Canis lupus familiaris: one gene and its partners. The protein of the gene in region 3 purifies or fractionates together with the protein of the main gene of each other region. This does not show direct contact. Links are inferred from orthologs where the notes say so. Each region holds a gene or a part of one and is shown on either strand. Other genes may lie near its edges.

Evidence for each region.
Region 1: the proteins of BAG2 (region 3) and MLF2 purify together in Homo sapiens (affinity purification with mass spectrometry; 4 studies listed by BioGRID and IntAct, with this or other methods). This does not show direct contact. The link is inferred for Canis lupus familiaris from reciprocal best matches to the Homo sapiens genes BAG2 and MLF2.
Region 2: the proteins of BAG2 (region 3) and RASAL2 purify together in Homo sapiens (affinity purification with mass spectrometry; 3 studies listed by BioGRID and IntAct, with this or other methods). This does not show direct contact. The link is inferred for Canis lupus familiaris from reciprocal best matches to the Homo sapiens genes BAG2 and RASAL2.

What each region holds. Positions count from the first base shown.
Region 1 is NC_049248.1:7,806,241-7,814,218, forward strand, and holds MLF2 (myeloid leukemia factor 2), read right to left. Parts: upstream 5,173-7,978; 5' UTR 4,968-5,172; intron 4,402-4,967; 5' UTR 4,374-4,401; coding exon 4,324-4,373; intron 4,072-4,323; coding exon 3,945-4,071; intron 3,735-3,944; exon of another isoform or gene 3,681-3,734; coding exon 3,645-3,680; exon of another isoform or gene 3,009-3,644; coding exon 2,955-3,008; exon of another isoform or gene 2,565-2,954; coding exon 2,436-2,564; exon of another isoform or gene 2,269-2,435; coding exon 2,109-2,268; exon of another isoform or gene 1,707-2,108; intron 1,610-1,706; exon of another isoform or gene 1,519-1,609; coding exon 1,331-1,518; 3' UTR 1,306-1,330; exon of another isoform or gene 1,092-1,305; 3' UTR 542-1,091; downstream 1-541.
Region 2 is NC_049228.1:21,362,060-21,369,908, forward strand, and holds the start of RASAL2 (ras GTPase-activating protein nGAP), read right to left. Parts: upstream 5,173-7,849; 5' UTR 4,849-5,172; coding exon 4,251-4,848; intron 1-4,250. UniProt on the Homo sapiens protein: Inhibitory regulator of the Ras-cyclic AMP pathway.
Region 3 is NC_049233.1:24,630,734-24,637,657, reverse strand, and holds part of BAG2 (BAG family molecular chaperone regulator 2), read right to left. Parts: intron 2,903-6,924; coding exon 2,793-2,902; intron 421-2,792; coding exon 8-420; 3' UTR 1-7. UniProt on the Homo sapiens protein: Co-chaperone for HSP70 and HSC70 chaperone proteins. Acts as a nucleotide-exchange factor (NEF) promoting the release of ADP from the HSP70 and HSC70 proteins thereby triggering client/substrate protein release.

The DNA.
Region 1 (7,978 bases), on a different chromosome or scaffold from region 3:
GCACCTCATGCCCTTCCAGTACCACTCCAGTTCCAGATTAGTTTTCTTCTCTGGTCTCCTTCCCTGGGCTCAAATTCTCAACCACTGAGGGTGGAAGAACATTGCTGAACTGGGGGTGCGTTCCCCTTGAAGGCCTGTGCCTTCCTGCTCAGTACAAGTGTTCCCACCCATAGTCCAGGGGAGACACTCACCCCAGGGGGCAAGGGGCAACAAATTCCTCAGATGCCTCTGAGATATGCTCTACGTTCCCCCCAGACGTGTGAGGTGTAGCAAAAGCAGGGGAGACAGCCAGCAAGGCAGCTGCTAGTGTTCCCTACCCCCTGCCCCCCGCCAGCCTAGTGCAGATGAGTGCTGCCACTGTTTCTCTTCTGCTGGGGCTCCGGCAGTCCCACTGTCATTACCACGGAGGTACTGGGCTTGAGCTCAAGTTAGGAAGGCCACACATGGAGACAGAGGGAATGTAAGAAGGGGCCTGGGGGACAGCAGGCGAGGTAAAACCGAACAGGGTAAAGATCAAAAGTAAAACAAGAATCCCACTTGGTCTTTTTTCCATTCTCCTTTATTCCATAAACACCTAGTTACAAGTTGCACGAATCAAAAAATAAAGGCAGAGAAGGGTGTGGGGAAGATTTCTGTGATGTGCAGGGGGTGGGTAGGGAGGAAGGGTGGGGAGCCAGTCCTCTCCCTCCACACAGCCCTAGATGAGGGCTATGGACCCTGCAGCAGGGGATCTGAGGTGGAGGTGGGCAAAGATCCAGGGTGGGTGAAGGATGGAGTAAGCCCCTAAACCCAGAGCTCACCCCCAAAGCCCCTCCAATGCATGGCAAGGGTAGAATGGGGCAGGTAAGGAGATTCAAAGATGGAGCAGCAGAATGAAAAATCAAGTTAGCAGACACAGGAGAAATGGAGTCATCGTGGTAGGGGATTAAAGAAGGAGAAAGTAGGTAAACGGGGCAATGAAAGGTCCTCCCTGAGACCCCCAGGGAGAGGTGGGGGCCAGCTTGCCTGTTAATTTAATATTAAACTGGGAGTGGGAGTTGGAAAGGAAAATGTTATTTCAGGGGATGATTCTTCAGCCTCTCAGCCTGTACCTGGAAGAGGAAGAGAGAAGAGCACAAGTCAAAACAAAGACAAAAGCCGGGAGTTGGGTTTAATCCCCTGTTCCAGCGAGAGCATTCTTCTTTCCACACCAGTGAAAACTTGTACCACTAAAGGCAACACCTCCCTGCAGAGGAAGGTGCACAGGTCGGCTCCTCCACCCCCTTCCGTGCTCTACACCTTACAAGTCTCCCCCTCGGTACTTACAGGAGAGGCTGAAGGCCTAGGGCCCTCACCAGTCATAGCGGCGGGACTGTCGGGAGGGGGAATCCTCGGGGCCCTGGATAGCCAGGCGGGGCGGCCCCTCAGCCCTTCGTCCCCCACCACCTGAAGCCTCATGCCTCCGAAATTCCAGGGGGCGCTGCTGCCGGAATCGGGATGTCTCCCTCCGCCATTCATCATCGAATGCTGCGGCTTCACCTGAGGAGCACAGAGACCAGGCGTGACACTTACTAAACGCACAGGCTGGCTTCTGGAATCAAGTGCCAAGAGTGAGCCATGGCCTTCTCAGGTGAAGAAACAGGGCAAAGGCTGAAAGTGTTATGTTGTGGGGGGGATATGTTGAGGGGGAGCAGCATAAAGAAAAATTTCTTTTCTCCCTAACTCAGGGTTCAATATGGTTCTGCTAGCTGAGAGCCCATAGCTATCCTAATATGGAAGCCACCAACAAGCCCAAGATAGGGCTACTGAAGAAGGATATCAGGAAGGGGATATTATTAAGTTAAGGAGCATAGTCCCATGTACACATTTATCAAGTATTTGATGAATATTTGTTGACTTGGAAAAAAAAGGGGGAGGAGAAAGGAAAGAACTGACCCTGCCAGCATCTGACTTAGCCCCTGAAGATGACAAGGCTCAAGCGAGGTAAGAAGTGGGCCCCCCCCAATAACTTTGCCAAGAAATATCTACAGAGGTAGGGAACAAAAGTTTTTATCTCCTAGCTCACAGGAACTGGACCAGTGGCTACTGGTCCAGAGGTCAGAAGGGTGATGTGCAGGAAGGAGGCTCACTCTCATCCAGGTTGATATAATCCTGCCGCTCCTCCTGGTCCCCCGTGCGGTGGTTTCGGGAGCGCTGGAGGATGTGGGCCCGGTCTCGGATGTGGTGCCCAATGGACATCTGCTCTAGCCCACTGTCTGAGTCCCGCACGGTCCTCCGAGTCTCCCGGATCTGGGATGGGGGAGAACACAGCCCTCAGCCACCCCTTCCGAAGCCCTGGCCACACCACACCAGGACAGCAAACCACCCCCAGCCCAGTCCTGAGAAAGGAAGGCAGGGCTGCTGCCTGCAGCCTTCAGTGCTGCCTTCTCTGGGAGGTGAGAAGCTGCCCAACTCACCCCGCCTGGTGCCGAACGCATCTCTGATGTCTCCTGGTAGACCTTGGGGGCGCCATCACCCGTATTGGAGTAGGAGATGACAGTGGAGGATGAAAAGGTCTGGCAATTGCCTCCTGCTGTCATATGTTCCTGAGGAGGAAAAGGTACCACAGGACTGAATGGTCCCTCTGGAGAAGGAATCCCACACCACACTTCAGCTGCCTGTTCTTGTCCCTTTCTCACAGCACGGGGGAGCCAAGAAAATGTCAGGACTCATCAGTAACCCCCAAATTCCTTGGAGCCCAACAATAAATAAGACGGAGCCTTAATTGCACACTTCATGAGACTGCTGCTGCTGCTTCATACTCAGGCATGAGAGCAGATAAGGGAACCCAGTGCTCTCCGGGCTCCATGACTTTATCTAGCTCCAGCCCTTCCTTCACCAGCACACTCTTCCCTGTTCCTGCCTCAAAGGACTCAAGGTGTTGCCAGCTATCACCGAGAACAAGAGTACAAAAGCATATGGGGTAAGAGCCTCACCATGTTCCCAATCATGTCATTCATCATTCCAAACATGTCCATGAAGCCACCCGACTGCAGCAAAGAGATGGAAAACAGAGTCAGGAAAGCACAGTCAGAACTCAGATTATCTTTAGGTACCCGCTAGACAGACACGTGGCTACACATTCCCTTTCTCTTCTTCACATGGAGCCACTGCTCTGTCTCTTCCTCAGCGCGACCAGAACAGGGGGTGTTCCCCTTCACATCTCCCTCCCTGCGCATGCTGCCTTCCTCCTCAGTCTCTACAGCTTCTCTGATCCAATCTGCTTTCTCCCAACTGTCCTATTTCCTCCTATCTTTAGGAAGCACACCCAAGTAAATAGATTCTAACCCACAAAAGGGTTGGGCATAAAACCATAAAAACAGCAACAGCAAACTTCTAAAAGCCATCTCGGTTGGCCCTTCGACTCCATCTCCATCCTCAGAACGACAAACTTTGCTAGGCAATTACATTTTCCTAATAGGTGTGGCTCTTAGAATGGAGGAATCAGTAAGTTAGCATCTTTAACCCACAGAACTCAGCACACAACAGACCCAGAGCTTTATGAACACTATAAAAAGATTTTAGGGTTACCCATAAGGCTGTTCCAGAGAGCCACATTTGGAAATAACATCTAAGGATATAGAGTGTGTCTGAGAATGGAAGGACACGAGGACATTAGGACTCACCATTCCCAGCATCCCAAAGGGGGAGACAGCCCCAGCCTACAGGAAAACATAAAGAACAAATTAAAGACCACGTCCTATGTCACTACAGTCCCAAACCAAGTGCATGGTCTCAGCTTTTTTTTTTTTCTTCCATCCTCCTCTCAAAAGGGGATCACAAAGCCCTTTTGCCAGACCCCTTCCCCAACTCCTAAAAATGATCATTCCACTTGCTAAGTTGGCTGAAGTGCAAGAGAAATCAAGGACTTTATTAGCCACCCTCCAGCATTTCCTTGGGTGTTGGGTATGTCTCGGCATCATTACCTGCATCCTACGGCTGGCAGGCCTGGCCCCGGGCATGTTGCCATCTGTGATGCTGAGGAAGGGGCTGTATCCAAAGCCACCTGACAACATTCGGTTCATATGCTGACGGTGAATAGCAAAGGGGTCCCTGTGGAAGTGAGTATACAGTGTAGATGGCAGAAGGGACAGTCAACACCTTCCTCCCCCACAAAAAAGAAAAGTCCAAGGGAGAAGGTGGCACAGATGCCTATTTCCTCCCCTAAGCTGGAGCTGAAGCAGAGTATCCAGCTAGTTCCAACCAATGCCAGCAATGGGAACCCAGATGTCTGTCTGAACTACTTAGAGACCCGAAGTGGAGTAGGATGAGCGCTCTAGAACAGGAGGGGGAGGGAATACTCACATCAGGAACATGGGATCCTCCGGCTCCACGTCCCTCATGAAGCGGAACATCCTGATTTTAGCTCCAGGGGGCTCCACACTGTAAAGATGTGGAGGCTCAGATACTCGGAGCCAGCCAGGCTTTTGCACACCCGGCTCAGTGTAGGGACTCTGAGAACACTGTCCCTTGCAAATGCTGTAACCGACCCCCACAAACTCCAGTGAGCCCCTTCTCCAGGCGGTGTTGGACACCACCCTCAAGGGAGATTAGGGCTCTTCAAACCTCTCGAGGAGGGCTGTGGAAAATTTTTCCCAGCCTCGCAGTTTTCTGCCTCCCCCACTCAGCCAGCCTCTCCCCGAAGCCCCGGCCAGAAGCACGCCCCCTTCCCCGACGCCACTGCTTCGGATGCGAATCTCGGGGGCCGGCCCTCGCCCCAGCAATGACCCCGGCCACCTCGCCCCCTCCTCACCCCAGCCGCAGCCGGGCCTCCCCCCGGCGGGCCTCACTATCCCCACCGCTGCCCCCGGCCCCCGGCCCCCGCCTCCCCGCCCGGCGAGCAGGAGCGGCAGGCCCGGCCCCCTCCCCTCCCCGCCTCCCAGGCTCCCAGACCCGCAGCTCCGCGGGCCCGCTCCTGCCGCCGGCTGCCCGCGCCGCTCGAGCCTCACCGGTCCCCGATCCGGGCTCAGCGGCCCATCCGGCCGGTCTCGCCTCTCTGTGCGCTGCAGGCTCGGGGGTTGCGGCCCGGGACGCGGGATTGGTCCGGGCTGGCTCTCCTCGGCCTCCCGCGCCGCCTCCTCCCACGGCTGCCACCTCCGTACCCCCCCACGGCCCGCGGAGCCCGAACCGCGGCCAGGCCCGGGCGGAAGTGACGTCACGGGGGGACGGCCCGCCCCGGGGCCGGGCCCGCGGAGCTCCGCCCACCGGCGAGCGAGGGGCTGGGGCTGGGGCCGGGGCCGCTCGGGCGGCGGGGTCCTCGGGTCTAGGGGAGGGGGCCTCATCCCCAGCTGGACTCGGGCCCTGTGGCCAGGAGGAGGCGCCCCGTGGGGGTGCGGGGAAGAGCGGGGCGCCCCGCCTCGTGAGGCTCGGGGCGGGACGGGGCGGTGCGGCACGTTCCCTGCGGGGAAGGAAGAGCCCGGGGGCAGGTGCCGGGGGGAGGGGCGGCTCCCCGCGGGCGACGACGTGGGGCGGATCCTGGGGGGAATATTAAGCAGATTTTCTCCGCCGGCGGCGTTCGGCCCGGGAGGGAGGCAGGGCAGCCGCCTCGCGGGGGAGGCGCCGCGGCCAGTCCTGTCGGGGGGAGGCGAGTTCCAAGCAGGGGCGGGGCCCTCGGGCTGACGTCGCAGGGGAGGTGACCGCTCGGCCCCTGTCTGGCTCCGGCTTCCAGAACTCGGCGGGCGGGAGAGAATGCGGGGTGGGCGGGCCGGCCGCCAGGTGGCGCTCCTCGGCCGGTCTGGAACGGCGGGGCTTCGGGAGCTGCCGTTGGCCCTGCTCCCGGACCCTCGGTTCCTCCGCGCGCAGGGTCGGCCTGGGCAAAGGTTGTCGTTCTGAAATCGTTTCGTGGAATGCCGGTTTCTCCCCTTGCTTTTCTCTCACTGCTGTGTTCCCAGGAGCTCCCAGTCCCGCTCTGATCTTTCCTGCCTCTAGTCAGGTAGGTGGGTCGAGGGTCTAAAGTTTGGGAGAAGGAAGGGGTGCAGAGCTCCGTTAACCAGGATCACCCAGGGGCGGAGCTGGAATCAGACCCAGAAGGCCAGGGCCAAAGACTGAAACTTTGACATACTAAATGTCTTGCATAAAATCTGGCCCAACTGGAGAGAAGGGCCCTCCCCCAGGGTGTCAGGAGAATTTGGACGGTCTACGATGGACTTTAAACCAGACTCATCCAAACTCTAGCTCTCCCTGGTTCTTTACTCTGGCTGCTAGCCATATTAGCGCTCTGTGGAGCCCAACAATGCCAAAGACTTGTTCCCAATACTTCCCTAGGGGTGAAGGAGGACGGGGGTCCCAGGTGACTCAGGAAAAGGTACCGGGAGCAGGGCTTCTCAGGTTTCTTGGGACGCGATCATTATTAGTGAGGGAAAAACAATAGTGGAGACAGAGGGGAACAGTGATAATTTGGAAGCTGCCGGGCTGGCAAAACCAAAGAAAGATAAAGACAGGATAAAAGAAAATTTGCTTTTCGTTGATATTTCTGGGGGAAGAGACTTAGTCAAGTCTTTTAAATTTTTTCTCCAGATCCTTTATCTCTGGACATTCCACTCTGCATCTGCCCCTTTTCCTTTTGCCTCTAAGGCAGTTGACATGTGATCAGGTTTTCTCTCAGAGTTCTGTGGCCCAGACTCAACTAAGTGTGATTCCTCACCTTCCAGCTTCTCCCTTCTCATTCCATTATGTCCAACCTTCACCAAATTGGGTAGGAGATAAAACTCAGCTTCTGGCCTCCTCCTTTTTTCTTTTTCCATTGCCTGGTGCTGTCTACCTACTGCTTTTAGGGACCTAGAAACCTTTATTTTATTTTTTTTAAGATTTTATTTATTATTTATTCATGATAGACATAGAGAGAGAGAGAGAGGCAGAGAGACAGGCAGAGGGAGAAGCAGGCTCCATGCAGGGAGCCCGATGCAGGACTCGATTCTGGGTCTCCAGGATCACGCCCTCGGCTGAAGGCAGCGCTAAATCACTGAGCCATCCCGGGGCTGCCCCCTAGAAGCCTTTCTTCTCTTCCTTGGAAAACCAAAGAATCAGATACCAGTCATATTTACCTTTGCCTGATTTTAAATCAGTGTATTACCTGTCCTAGGAGAATTTACAAATTACAGCTTAGCTTCGAACTAGAAGGGAAAGCTCCAAACCTGGGCTTTGTCTGAGGTTAAAAAGAAATTCTTGACTGGGTGGGGATGAAGAAGGAAGTGCAAGAGCTCATTTTCAGAGTCCCCAGAGACATAGCACAAAGTCAACCATCCACTCCAAAAATGGAAGGAATATAATTTTACGAGTAACCTTTATGTCCCTCACAACCAGAGTTTGTGTCTGTCTCCCTTTCTCTCTTGCCTTCCGTCCCTTCCATTTCCTGTCTCTCTCTCCCGTTCTTCCTTCTTTCCTTCCTTGTCCGGTGAACTCTGAAGAACAAAAATTTCTCAGTCACTGGAGTGTCCCGTATATGAGAAGATGTAGGATGGCAAGTGAGCCCTGCCAGGAGTGAGGTTTAACACAAGGAGGATAGGATTTGGGGAAGGAAGAGGAACAATGTGTTTCTTACGTGTTCACTGCTCTATCTGATGGAGCCAAAGTCAGAAAGTCCTTGTGAGAGTAGAGCTGGGCCAGAAGATGAACCCTCTTTTATTTTTTTTTTATAAATTTATTTTTTATTGGTGTTCAATTTGCCAACATATAGAATAACTCCCAGTGCTCATCCCATCAAGTGCCCCCCTCAGTGCCCGCCACCCAGTCACCCCCACCCCCCTGCCCACCTCCCCTTCCACCACTCCTAGTTCGTTTCCCAGAGTTAGGAGTCTTTCATGTTCTGTCTTCCTTTCTGATATTTCCACTCATTTTTTTCTCCTTTCCCCTTTATTCCCTTTCACTATTTTTTATATTCCCCAAATGAATGAGACCATATAATGTTTATCCTTCTCCGATTGACTTATTTCACTCAGCATAATACCCTCCAGTTCCATCC
Region 2 (7,849 bases), on a different chromosome or scaffold from region 3:
TTTTCTGTATTTTGCAGACATCTTTTTTAATGACAATGTAGAAAAAGAGAAGGTCCAATTATAGAGAAGATCTGAGGCATTATATAAGTTCTTATACTAATTAATCCTCATCAATATTTATTAGATGTACATCTTAGGAACTTAAAGTACTTTTTTTTTTCTAAATTGGTTAATGATTTCCTAGAATAAGTGAGGAAGCTGCTAGTTACTTAATAAAATAATGTGCTTATTCCCAGCACTAAGAACTGCGTCTTAGGAATTCAACAAACTCTTGTTGAATTAATGTATGAGGCCCTTTCCAATAGGATTTTTCATAAAAAATTTTGCTTAAAAATTGAATGAGCATGCTAAAAGAAAACTATGTAGGAAAAAAAAAATTGTCTTCTAATTCCCAAGCTAGAGGTCTTTAAAAACTAACACTGGGGAGAGAATATTCTTACCACTATGATATTATAATGTCATTTTAAGCAGACATAAACTGTAACCAGAAAGTGAGCTACAGGGGATCCCTGGGTGGCTCAGTGGTTTGGCGCCTGCCTTTGGCCCAGGGCATGATCCAGGAGTCCCGAAATCAAGTCCCGCGTCAGGCTCCCGGCATGGAGCCTGCTTCTCCCTCTGCCTGTGTCTCTGCCTCTCTTTCTCTCTATGTCTATCGTAAATAAATAAATAAAATATTTTTTTAAAAAAGTGAGCTACATAGGGTATATTTAATTTTCTTCCCTACTATCTTTTCTTTTTTTTTTTTCCTTTTTTCTTTGTTAAGCCTACCTGAGGAAGAATGATAATTTAGGAATCAAATTGCCTCCCAGTAACATAGAGTTTACACCCCATGTATGTTTACCATTACATAATGTTTTTTCTAAGTTTCGGGATGACTGGGTAGTTCAGCAGTTGAGCATCTGCTTTGGGCTCAGGGTGTGATCCCAAGATCCAGGATCGAGTTCCGCATCGGGCTTCTTGCGGAAGCCTGCTTCTCCCTCTGCCTGTGTCTCTCATGAATAAATTAACAAAATCTTTAAAAATATATATATATTTTTCTAAGTTTCACATAGCTAGTGAGTGGCAACTAATAGGCCCTATGACATTTTGTTGATTTGATATGCTGTGATAGGTTTGTTACTCCTCATTTATCAGGTGTTTCAATTTACTTCCACTATTGCAAACATGTTGACTCAGTGCTTAGACATGGGCCCCACAGCAGCTGGAATTACTTTTAGCTATAAAAAGTATATCATATTTTTTATATCATGTCATTTGACCTATATATTATCTGACCTACATCAGATAAATGAGTATCTCCACAACTGGAATAGTAGTGAAGCCTTTGAGTTTTTCCCTCTTAAATTGTTTAGGGACCCTGAGCATGATATATTTCACTGCTTTAAGCATGAGGGTAATTATGGTCAGCTATGACACAAGAAACTTGTTTATGCTCAGAACATACACACGCTCAGAACAAATGAGGGTACACAGAATTTAAGAACATTGCAATTTACTTATATTTGTTAATTACAACACTCAACAATCAGGTATCTCCTTTTCCTTCCTAGTTTAAAAAAAAAAAAAAGGTCTCTATCAATTTAAGTTCGTTTTCCTAACAGAAACAAGATCTAATATATATTGAACAAATGCCATTTGCCAAACATTGTTTTATATGCTTTAAATGCATACTACATTACTTAATGCCTCTTGTATCTTGCAGTCATACTGAGAAAGAAAAGTAACAAACACTAGTGGGCTTCAAATTAAGAAATATATTAATTTTCTTAACACAGTCTTAAAGACACCTATGGATTAATATTCCATATCTTGCTACAATAGTATAGTAGCAACTCTGATAAGAACACTTTTTATTCACATGGCACCTATGAATAAATGTTATGTAAACTATAATGTACATAGCATTTTCAAATTTCATTTATCACTTGTGAAGAAGGAATTATTATTCTATAAAGTGTAAAGAGAGATTCAGAGATGAAACTTCACAGATGATAAGTGGCACAGATGGAAGTAGAATTCAGGTGTTCTGAGCCAATTGTATTCCTTCTATTGTGGGGAATGGAAATGCAAGAAAGTTTACACCTCCAGAAGGTTTGAAAAGTACAGACATGGACTCTGCTGGGCATGTGCTACTGCTCACAGAGAAAATATCTCCAGACAAGAATGAGCTCCAATCTTTGTATTAAACAGTATTTCAGTTTTAAGAGCTTGAATCTTCACTGGTGAAGCACTTAGGGGAGGATCACAGGATTTAATAAAAATTGCTGATTTGACTGGAAAGAATAATGTGTACTATTCTTTAATTACTGGACTTGAAATCCCTTCTCATAGCACCTTAAACTGTTTATGCTTCCAAATATATAGTTATTATATGCTTATAAGCAATAAAGAATATTAGGAAATATATTAGGAATACAGTAAATATAGACTATTTTGTATCTTCTTAAGTAAACCATAAATGTGTAAAAAGTAGGGACAGTCTTTGAGCACATCATTCATACTAGGCAGCCAATAGCTTGGCAAATATGCAAATATACTAGAAACTGAAAGTTAAGTACAAAAGCCCAAAAACTTTATGAACACAAACATTTTTTTTAAAAAAACCCAAACCCCCAAAACCCTATAGCTTTCTTTTATCAAATGCACACATATTAACTATTGAGAGGCACTGATCTTAAGAATTTATTTCAAACTCTTAATTTCCTTGGAAATTACTACTCCTTTACATCATCCTGTCATCATCTGATAAGGAAGCACACACACTGGCATCCAAGGAAATCCAACAACATCATCTTCCAGAAATTTCAACAGAATGTTAATGCAGGCATATTAAAAAGATTTTGCTCTTGGTAATTATTTATAAGTCAAGGGTAAGAAGAAAATAGATACACTTAATAGTATCATTAAAACTCACTGAGCAAAGGAAAATCTAGGGAGGATAAAGTTTAAAAGGAATGCCGAATTACTGGCACACATATATTTGGAAAACTATTTAATTTTTCACTGATAGGTCAGCCTTTGCATTCTCCATCTTCATTTTAAAAGAAATTAAACTGTACTCCAACAGCATAATTCTTCAACAACTCCCATAATTTTCTGAAGAGTTTAAACTTTTCCTGATGTGGTCAACCTTACAGTAAAGATAAGCTGAAATATTCTAATAGTAAGAGCTTGCTCAAAAATGACCTCAACTGGATGGAGATATTATCAGTTTTAGTGCTGAAGTTTCCAAAAATAACAAACAAACAAACATGGTCGTAACACATAACTGAAATAGTTTAGCAGATAAGGTCAATCATTTCCAAGGCAATCACATAAAACTTTAAGAGTTCTTTTTTTGTATTTAACAGTGCTACCATCAATATAAAAGATTTTTAAGTTTAAATAAGTCCCACATGAGGTTTAAAAAAAAAATGAATCAAACATAAGCTTCTATTTTATCATCTGAACACATTCAAGATTTGTATCAAAAAAAAAGATTTGTATCTCTTGCTTTCATCTTCAAATTGTGTAGTTTTATGACACAAGCAAATGAAAATTCTAACCAATTTAAAGCTCTCAATACAATTCTGCTCTAAATAGTTCTAATAATATTTATTTTTATGAGAATATAATAATTCTATTTTCTAATTCTCAACTTTCTCATGAGGAAATTATTTGATTATATCTCCTCTAAATCTCATTTAACTTGCAAAAGTATATCAGTGGAGATAAGGGTTAAAAAACAAAATGAAACAAAATGATACAAAACACTTTTACATAGGCTCCAAAGTAGAATTCAAGAATATAACATAAAGGGGAAAAATTCCTTAATTTAAACAATGTATTCTTTACTATTATTTACTATCATTCATTGAAAAAGGATTTCTGAAGCAGTGTTTATCACTTTAAAAACTGTACAAAGTGGGATCCCTGGGTGGCGCAGCGGTTTAGCGCCTGCCTTTGGCCCAGGGCACGATCCTGGAGACCCGGGATCGAATCCCACATCAGGCTCCCGGCGCATGGAGCCTGCTTCTCCCTCTGCCTGTGTCTCTGCCTCTCTCTCCTCTCTCTCTCTCTCTCTGTGACTATCATTAAAAAAAAATAAAAATTTAAAAAAATAAAAAATAAAAAAATAAAAACTGTACAAATTCATTTTATAATGATCAAATAGAATGGTTTATCTTATTATAAAACAGAAATAATTAAAATTCCAATAGTAACTAAAATTGAGCCATCCCTTCTTTATCCCCTTATTCATCACAATATACCTTCTCTTACTGGCTCATTGGTTGATTCTCCTTTCAGACTCAGCATCCTGGAGAAGCCATTGGAAAGAGTAGAGAAAATGCCACGGATGAAATATCCCTGCTGTTCAGACTCCTCTGACCTTCCTGTAGTCGGCCATGATCTAACAAATCTGATACTGCAGCGAGGTTCTGGCTCTGAAATAGATCTGGTGAATGGAACCCGAAGTGACCGGGTGTTGACCAGGTTCAGCTTCTCTGTTGGTGCTCCAAGGACCTCAATAGCAGAGGAAGAAGCATTACTACCAACCATCTCTGGCAGGACCTTTTGTTGCCGTTCATCCAAGTCTCTTTTATTAGTCTGTAACCTCTCCCTTTTGCCCCCTTTCCACCTACAGCTGGGATGTGTTTGCCACCGATAAGCACCCAGTGGCTTTCCTAGACTGGAAACAGCATGTTCATTTTTCTTCCTCTTGATTTTCACTGGACCACGCCATGGATAACTCTTTAAGCTTATTCCTATCTCTGATTTTGCATAAGCAGGTTCTGACAAAGATCTTCGATAGCTTGGAGGACAAGGTGATGTCTGTCTCTTAAAGATGCTCATCTTCCACGACTCCATTTTTTAACAACTTCTCTTAACTTTAAGTTTCCTCTACTCTGCAGTCTTTGCAGTTGAACCACACTTGTCCGTGCAGTCCAAAATATTCAACTGCTTAAGCAGCTTTCTTTGTGTGGCTTTGAACCACAGCAGATGTTGCTGCTTAAGAGCTGGTGTCATGTTATTACCCCATTTTCCCAGATCTCCGAAATTTTAGCAGCACCCAAAACTCTCTTGCCTGCAGCAAAGAATCTTCAGAGTGCAACAAAAGCAAAGATTTCCAGAAGATCATCTCGCTTCCTGCTGTAGGTTACATTTCTGTGCTAAGTTTTCAGGAAATGATTTTAAAGAAAATAAGAAGTGAAATAAAAACGGCAAAAAAAACCCACAAACACCTTTGTAGACCAATAGCAGTTAAGTGTTCACCATGCAAATGATAGTGGGTTAAAAACAGATTGTGAAAGTAGTCAGGCTGACATCCACATTTTACGGAAGAAGAAAGAAAACTTGCCTAAGCCTGCCCTTGAAGTGACAACTCTTCAGAATAGTTTCTAAAAATATGTAGTTTAGAAATTTAATTTCAAGAAAATCATTGCTATTTACACCACCACTTCACTCAAAATTAATACTGTTTTTCAACCAATAGGTAAAGTCATACACTGTTTTACTCAAGCAGACAGTGCAAGGACAAGTCAAGATGGCCAAAAAAATGCCAAAATTTAAAGCCATCTTAAATGTAGATAAATATAGTAGGGAGAATTTTAAAAGCATAAATGGACAGAAAAGAAAACGGGGACAGAGGATATTTACTATGAACTGCAGCAAAGGAAAAGCAAAGTCTTGAGGCAATATCTTGTGGGAACCAGAACACAGGAACATATATACTAAATGACTTCTAAAAGGGAAAGTTTCCTTTGTAAATCTAATTGGGATAAGCTGTCTGGAAATACATTCCCTATCTGTTTAAACAAAGAAATTCCTTGCCTCTTCTTTGTGCTGCTTACAATTTAAAAAAAAAAAAAAAAGAGCTGACTATTTAAAATCTTCTTAAAGCAAAGTACCTTATAGTGAAACAAGATCATGAATGCCAAGTTGCCAGCTGGTTAATTTTTTTCTTCAAATGTCTGCTCATAAAACCCTAAAAACAGGGGTTTCAAATGGAAAGCCTGACAGACTTTAGGCCACCAATAAAAGAGATACAACATGATAATCAAATCACTTTACAAGTTTTAGAAAAAATAATTTCATCTGGAAAAGTAAAAACATAGTTGTAGAACACGTACAATGAAAAACCATTCTCACAGTCTCGTTACTACTATAGAAATAGGAAATTTATAGTACCTTATCTATTCTTTTAAACATATTAAAGTGTTTTAGTTATTTCCATTATCATAAGGAAATAATCCCATTTTTGTTTGTTTTTATAGGCTCCAAATTTATACATGTCTATATTAAAGAAATGCTGAAGTATTTGGCTTTCCCAAAAGCAATACACATCAAAGTAGAGTGTCTTACAATCACAAAATTTTCTCTTTAAAAAAAGCAAAAAGAAAAAAACCCCAGAAATCTGACTCTGCACAGACAAAAACAATAAACATTAAGTTCTAATCTCTATTAATGGCACATCGCACCATCTACAAAATTTATCTGTGATGAAAATAAACCTAAATGTAAAATATAAAACTATAATGCTTAGAAAATAAACCATAGACTATGTTTGTGAACTGAGGGTAGAAGATTTCTTAGAATACAAAAATGCAATAACCATGATAGGAAAATATAAACAAATAAAACTGCACAGGGCGGGGGGTGGGAGTGAATGGGTGACGGGCACTGGGGGTTATTCTGTATGTTAGTAAATTGAACACCAATAAAAAATAAATTAAAAATAAATAAATAAATAAATAAATAAATAAATAAATAAATAAATAAATAAAACTGCACAAAAACCAAAAGTGTCTGTTCAGTAGAAGACATTATAAAATCAATAAGTCACAAAATGGGAGAAAATATTCACAATTCAATTATCTTCTGCTTTGTACTACAATATATAAAGAACTACAATTAGTAAAAAGAAAAAAAGAAAGAAACCTAATATTTAAAAAATAGGCAAAAAAAGTTGGACAAACCCTTCACAAAGAAATCTATATGAATGGTCAATAAGCATATGAAAAAATAATCAACCTCATTAGTAATTAGAGAAATACAAGTTAAATGTATAATGAAATATCAATCACATCCAATAGCATGGCTAACATTTAAAGACCTAACAAACAGTACAGGTGTTGGTGAGGAAGTGGAGCAACCAGAAAACTCATAATTGGTAATGGGAACATAAAATGGTTCAACTACTATGAAACAAATTTAACATTTTCCTTATAAACTGACATCTTAGGGACACCTTGGTGGCTCAGCGGTTGAGCATCTGCCTTCAGCTCAAGGCGTGATCCCAGTGTCCTGGGATCGAGTCCCACATCAGGCTCACTGCATGGAGCCTGCTTCTCCCTCTGCCTGTGTCTCTGCCTTTCTCTCTCTCTCTCTCTCTCTCTCTCTCTCTCTCTTTCTGTGTCTCTCATGAATAAATAAAATAAAATCTTAAAAAAAAAAAAACAAAAAAACCTACATCTACCCAAGACCCTGCAGTTCCACTTCACTCACAGGCATATTTACTCAAGAGAAATTAAAATACACATACTTATACTTCAATGTTCACAGCAGCTTTATTTAGAACAGACAAAAACTGGAAACAACCCAAATGCCCATCACAGTAGAATGAATAAACTAAATTGTGGTATTTTCATACAATGATGTACTACTCAGCCAGAAAAAGAATGAACTATTAACAACAACAACTAAAAAAAAAATGTGTATGAATATCCCAGATACTATGCCAACAAAAGGAACTGGACATAGAAGAGTACATACTGTATGATTCCATTTCTACAGAATTTTAAAACCAGATAAACTAATCTATGATGGGGAAAAATTTCAGAAAAACAGTTGTCAGTGGTAGAGGACGCTA
Region 3 (6,924 bases):
TTCAAAACTAATTAAATTTGCCTTCAGCATTTTGTTGCAGAGTTTTGGAACCAGCTCCTTTAGAATGCTCTAACAGCTTGATGGCCTTGTCAGAGTTTTCAATATTTCTAAGCAGGGTCTCTAATCTTCTCTTAATTTTCTTCTGGTCTTCAAGAGCACAGCCAATTACTATGGACTGAAACTTCTGGTCAACAGGCCCGGGTGGCACCTCAGATGAACATGCACTGTACAGGGACATCAAGTGACTCCTGGCATTTCCCAAATCATCCAGAAACTTACTGACCACCTCGTCAATAATCCTGGTGGCATGCTTTAGGGATTCTTGCTGCTGGGGGTTTCTGATTGTTTCTACTGAAACTTCAACGGTGAGGGTTCGTCCCATCAAACGGTTTGCTGTCAGATTTAATTCTTCTCTTTCTCCTAAACATGGAAAGTTTGAAATATCAATCAATACGAGACATAAACTTACCTATATTGAAAACATTTAGGCATTCATTTGTGGCTAAAGTTATTTTCTGTAAGCACCTTGGCTACAAAATTTTTAAATGTAAAAGTCAAAATTATAGCACATAAGATTAACTAATAAACTATATTATATTACGGAGAGAGGTTGCAGAATACCTTTCCCTGAAAGTCTATTTTTTATTATTTCCTTTTTTTTATTATTTCATTTTTTGAGAGAGAGGGAGAGTGAGCACATATGTGTGCAGGTGGGAAAGGGGCAGAAGGAGAGGGAGACAGACCATCTCAAGCAGGCTTCACGTGTAGCGTATGAGCCTGATGTGGGGATTGATCTCACAACCGTGAGATCATGACCTGAGCCAAAATCAAGAGTTGGAGTGCTTAATGGACTGAGCCACCCAGGCACCATTATCTGACAACTTTTATTTATTTATTTTTAATTTTTTTACTTTTTAATTTTTTATTTATGATAGTCACAGAGAGAGAGAGAGAGGCAGAGACATAGGCAGAGGGAGAAGCAGGCTCCATGCACCGGGAGCCTGACGTGGGATTCGATCCCGGGTCTCCAGGATCGTGCCGTGGGCCAAAGGCAGGCGCCAAACCACTGCGCCACCCAGGGATCCCCTCTGACAACTTTTATACATGGGATACCAGATGACTTTTCCAAGTGGGCACGTTTGAAAAAGTGTGGGCAGGTATGCATTTCTAACTCGGATGGAGATCAAGTCTTAACCTAGAGCAAATGGCGTGCATAACCAGGGTTTTGTGCTGGTTACAAGAGATCAGATGCAGTGGATCTCTTGATAAGGATGTGCATGTAGGGGAGGAAAAATAATTTTCCCTGTACCTTTCTGAGTTCTTGGCTGAGAAACCCTGTAATAAAAGACAGATTAACAAGAAAAAAAGCAGAAGCTTATTAACATGTATACTTCACATATACATAGCAGAATTTTAGGGACACTGAGATGGCCTCCCTCTCAGATGGAGAGCCCAAGCCACCACCTTAAAAACCATCTTCAGCTGAGGAGTAAGATGTTGAGGGAGGCCTTCCCCTCTTTAGTGAGGTTACCAGTAAAAGCAGGATAAACCAGGGAAGGGTTGCTTTGCCTTTGGCGTATATAAGGGTTTCTTGTGATTCACAGTTATCCTTCCTGGTACACGGAGGCAGGCACCCTTACAAATGGAAATATCCCTTATAAATGTAAACATCCCTTACAAACAAGTAACTTCTATTCTGTTTTCAGAGCTTCTCCTGTGTCTGCAGTTTCTCAAAAATAATCAGCTTGAAATAATTCTTATGCCAAAGAGGCAAAATTTGAGATGGTATATTTTGCATGGATATCAGAATACAATGCTCCAATTTTGGCTGAAAAAAACATAACCATGATGGTGGAGAAAAAGCTGGCCTCGAAATTCGGCAGTGACTCATCCTTTCCAGGGAAATTTAAGCAGGCCAGTGGTTTCTAAGTCTTGGCCAGCACAGAGAGGCAATGGTGGGAAAAAGGATCCACATTTCATTATTTACATGAAAAAGTCAGTAATCTCCTCTTTGTCCTGTTCTGTAACTCCCTTTTTTTTTTTTTTTTTTTTTTCCCTGTAACCCCCTTCTTAATTCATCAATCTTTGGCCAGGATGATGAAAAGACCGGCCAGATCTTGATCCTGCCATGTGTGTCTAACCGTGCAGGGCCTGGAGTTAGACTGTACACTCATGGCACCAGCTGTTGGACCATGAGCTTGTCTAGGGAGGCCCCGGAGCAACCAAATTAGAAAGATCACCGCCAGTGAAAGGAAATACAAGTGCCCTATTCCTCCACGGAAACTCATGCTTTTCATATAGAAATGATAGCACATTTTTACATTAATGGGGTTTTATTGGGTCCATTATTTCTTTCCCCTGGATTTTATCTCAATACCTCAACCCCTCTCGTTTGTCCTCTCTGCCATCCAGTAACTTCTGAGGAATTGAAGTCAGGACTGTAAACCTGAGGTCAAAGGCATCACCTTACTGCTTGGGACCACCTCTTCTGGAGCTTGGAGGCCTTTTTTTTTTTTTTTTTTTTTTTTTTTTAACATTTCTAACCATGCCCCTGAGGTAGGCAGCAGGCCAGAAGGGTGACCTCTGGGTAAATGGTTCTTTTTTTTTTTTTTTTTTTTTTTTTTGTAAATGGTTCTTGTAATAATAAATTGACAGCTGTTGTCCGCTACTCATGGGAAATGCTGAAGCCAAGTGTACTCATTCCTCAAGTCAAGTGAAAATGGACCCACACTTATCCTAAATCCCATGAAAGAGTGGAAAAGATGAGCTCCCTTCTGTGGAAATGCTCTCACCATCGCTGATCTGCCTCATATCCTGGCTATTCTGGATGCTGTGGATCATTTCCAGGAGGATTTCTTTCTCTTGCTCAACAGCAGTTGCGGCTTCTCTCAAGGCTTCCACCCTATATAAATTGGGAAAACAAAAGTTACCACAGGGAAGTTTCCTTTTCCTCATCTCTATTATTTGCTCCATCTCAAGTTTAAAGATCCTTAGGAACACTTTTGAAAAGTTCTTTATTCTTTTTTAAAAACTTTAAAATTTTTCGGGCAACCCTCTTGGGGCCCTCCCTCTTCGGGAGCTTTGTACCATCACTTTACTATCGCTCAATAAACTCTGCTTTGCTGCCTGTCAAAAAAATATATATTTAAAAATTTTTTCTATTGTTTTAAATCCACCCACCCCAGTCTCCTTTTCCTCCTCGCGTGTATGGCATTCTATTTAGTGTTTATCTATTTTGTATTCGTTCATAACAAAATCTGTATTTGTGTTTTCATCTATTTTCAATTTATATTTCACTGTTTCTTTTTTCACTCAGCATTTTATTAAGAACCATCCAGATTCCTATGTGAATATCTAATCAGTAGCTTCTGATTGCTGCATGATACTCCATGTATATTCACCTGATTTCACCTCCTCTCTCCCAGTGAAAATGCTTACCATGTCCCCTTACTTGTCATCAGCACAAAAAAGCACTTCAATGAATACAGGTCCCCTATGGACTTGAATGAGAACCTTCTTAGGATTTATCTCAGGGCAGAACTGCTGAGACACAGGGTATGTGCACCCACCATTTAATTCGGTACTACCACTGTTCTCCAGAATGGCCACACTAGACCACTGTTGGGAAGCAAGTATTCTTGTCCCCTCAAAGGTTCTTCTAACTGGACTAAGAATCAAATTGACATGAGACAATTTACAGGAGAAAATCCAATTTAATAGTGTACATAGGGGAATCCACATACACATGGAAATTCCAAAGACAATTAGGCAAAATGAGGTATACCTATTATTCTGAAAGAAGGAGAAGGGGGTTAATGGTCTGGGACTTCAAAGAAAAGGAACGCAGGGTGATAAGAAGAGCAGATGTTTGGTAATTAGATGTTTGCCCTGCCATACAGATGGGCCACTCAGATAAAATTTATCTCTGCTTATAACCTTTATTCTGGGAAAGACCCCTAATTTAGATTCTTCTGTGTGGTTAAGGGAGGGGCAGAAGTTTCTCCTGAGCCTGCAGGCTCTCAAGTGCCTTCAGCTCAAAAGAACCCACATGCCAAAGTGGCACATTCTGGGGGGCCCTGTCCTGAACCCCTTCACAATATTCCCAGCAGTAAAGCATTGGAATCCCTGTGTTCCCACACCCCTACCAACACTCAGCATCTTCCAATTTCCTATTTGTTGCCAGTCTACTAAGTATACAGTGATATATTCATAATTAATCTGCATGTCTTTCATTACTAATAATTTTGGACATCTCTTTGTATTCTTGTTAGCCTGTTCACAGCCTTTGCCTATTTTGTTTTTTCTTTTTTAAATGGGGGTTACTGTCCTCTTGCTGATTTGCATACTCAAAGAATTAGTCCCATGTTAGTTACAGACATTGTAATAATCTTCTTCGATCCTATCATCGATGAATTTTGCCTGGGATATTCTTCACTGAATAGATATCCTTACTTTGAAGTGATCAAATTAATATTTTCTTGGTTTTGTTTGCCTTGTGGCTTATGCTTCTGAAGGGTCTTTACATCTGAGGTCATAAGGTATTTTCCTACATTTCTTTCTATTAACTTCATTGTTTTACTTTTCTCATATTTATGGCTTAGTCCATCTAGAATCCACCTATATGTGTTTAGGTAAGGATTTTTTGTTTTATTTTTCTCCAAATAGTGAACCATTTCCAACATTATATCCACCAAAAATCCATCTTTCCTCTGACTTATACATTGTCTACTCTGAAATCTCTGTTCCATCTAGTAGTGTATCTAACTGTTCTTACACCAATATCCATTTTAAAAAAATACCAATAGCCTTGTAATATGCCTTAATATTTGGTAGAACCAGCCCTCTAATCTTCTTTAAAGATAGTTATTTAGAGTTTTAGTATTCCATATTAACTTTCGAGTAAGTTTCTTAGGTTTCTCAAAGAACTGGGGTAAATATGGCGTCTTTAGCATATTGTCATTTCGGGATGCCTGGGTGGCTCAGTGGTTGGGCATCTGCCTTTGGCTCAGGGTGTGATCTTGAGGCCCTGGGATCCAGACCCACATCGGGCTCCCTGCATGGAGCCTGCTTCTCCCTCTGCCTGTGTCTCCTCTCTCTCTGTGTCTCTCATGAATAAATAAATAGAATCTTTACAAAAAAGATAGAATATTGTCATTTCACCCATCTATATATTCAGATCATCTTCCATATTCTTTATTAGAATTTTGAAGTAGTCTTTTTTTTTTTAAGATTTTATGTATTTATTTTGAGAGAGACAGAGAGGCAGCACACAAGCAAGGGGGGAGCAAGAAAGGGAGAAGCAGACTCCCCCCTGAGCATGGAGCCTGACATGGGGTTCCATTTCAGGACCCTGGGATCATGACTTGAGCTGGGCAGATGCTTAACTGACTGAGCCACTCAGGTGCCCTGAAGTTTTCTTAATAGTCTTTGTGGACGCTTTTGAGAGCTTTGATCCTTTGTGGATACTGTTATTGTAAATAATACATTTTATTTATTATAATTATCTTTAATGTTTTTATTTTTTTAAAGTTTTTTGAAAAGTAATCTCTACACCCAATGTGGGACTCAAGCTCATGACTCCAAGATCAAAAGTTGCATGCTCTTCAGACTGAGCAAACCAGCTGCCCTATTTTAAATTATAATTTCTCACTTGTTATTGCTGGTTAGGAAAACAGAAAATGCTGTTTTTTGTAAGGTTCATCTTGTAATTGGTAACAGATTTATTAATTTTAATTTGTCTTTTTAAAAATATTTTATTTATTTATTCAGGGAAGACAGAGAGAGAGAGAGAGAGAGAGAGAGAGAGAGAGAGGCAGAGACACAGGCAGAGGGAGAAGCAGGCTCCATGCAGGGAGCCTGACGTGGGACTTGATCCCGGGTCTCCAGGATCAGGCCCTGGGCTGAAGGCAGCGCTAAATTGCTGAGCCACCCGGGCTGTCCAATGATTTGTCTTTTGATTCTTCTAGATTGATGATCATATAATCTACACAAAATGACAGATTTAATCTCTTCCTTTTAAATCTTACTAGCTTATATCTCTTTATAGTATTGACTAAAGTCCTCTGTTACTTTATTACACAGTGGTGATGAGAGAGGGCGTCTTTGTCTTTTCCTGAATTTAAAGGAAATGCCTGTGTAGGTTTTTGGTCTAAAGCCCGTATCAAACTACAGAAGCACTACTTTCCCTAACTCCCTCAAGTATAAACACACATGAACTTAACTACACATACACATGAACACAGTCACTAAAGAACAAAATTGTGGAATCATGAAAGCAAGAGAAAGGAAAATCCTGTATATTTAAAGTGCTTTGTTTTCAGGGCACTTCTTGTTATATGTTATCCCATAAATAAGTTGCCAACTTTTCCTAAATGAACACTGACAGACTTACCCTTAGTATTCAGATAGCCTTAGAAATATGAGATCATGGAAGATCTAATCCTGATTGCTGCCATAAGTGGGCACAGAAGGAACAACTTCACTAATGTTTGAGCACATGTCCATTCCATTTAAGCCCTCCCCTACCCACCCCAACCCCACATTTGCCTTTTCCCCAACAGCCATCCACCTGTTATACCCCAAAATAGCACTGATAGGTCACAAAGTCACAGGTTCTCTTTGTTCATCAAGATACTAAATATATGCTGAACTTTGTATTTATAAGAGCTGGGAAAACCAAAGAGCTGGTAAGAATCTTATGTGACAAATGTGGCTGGAAAATACAATAAAAAACAATATTCTATAAAATAGAATACAACAGCAGGCCCACTTCAGTATCATTATGTACACATTTTATGTTGGCAAACTCTCAGACAGATAAACTAGGGCCCAGTATATTTGAGAGAGATTGAGTTGGCGCTAATATGAAATATTCATGCTAAAAACACAAACCATGACTCCAGTGTTTAAATGACAAAGATGAAT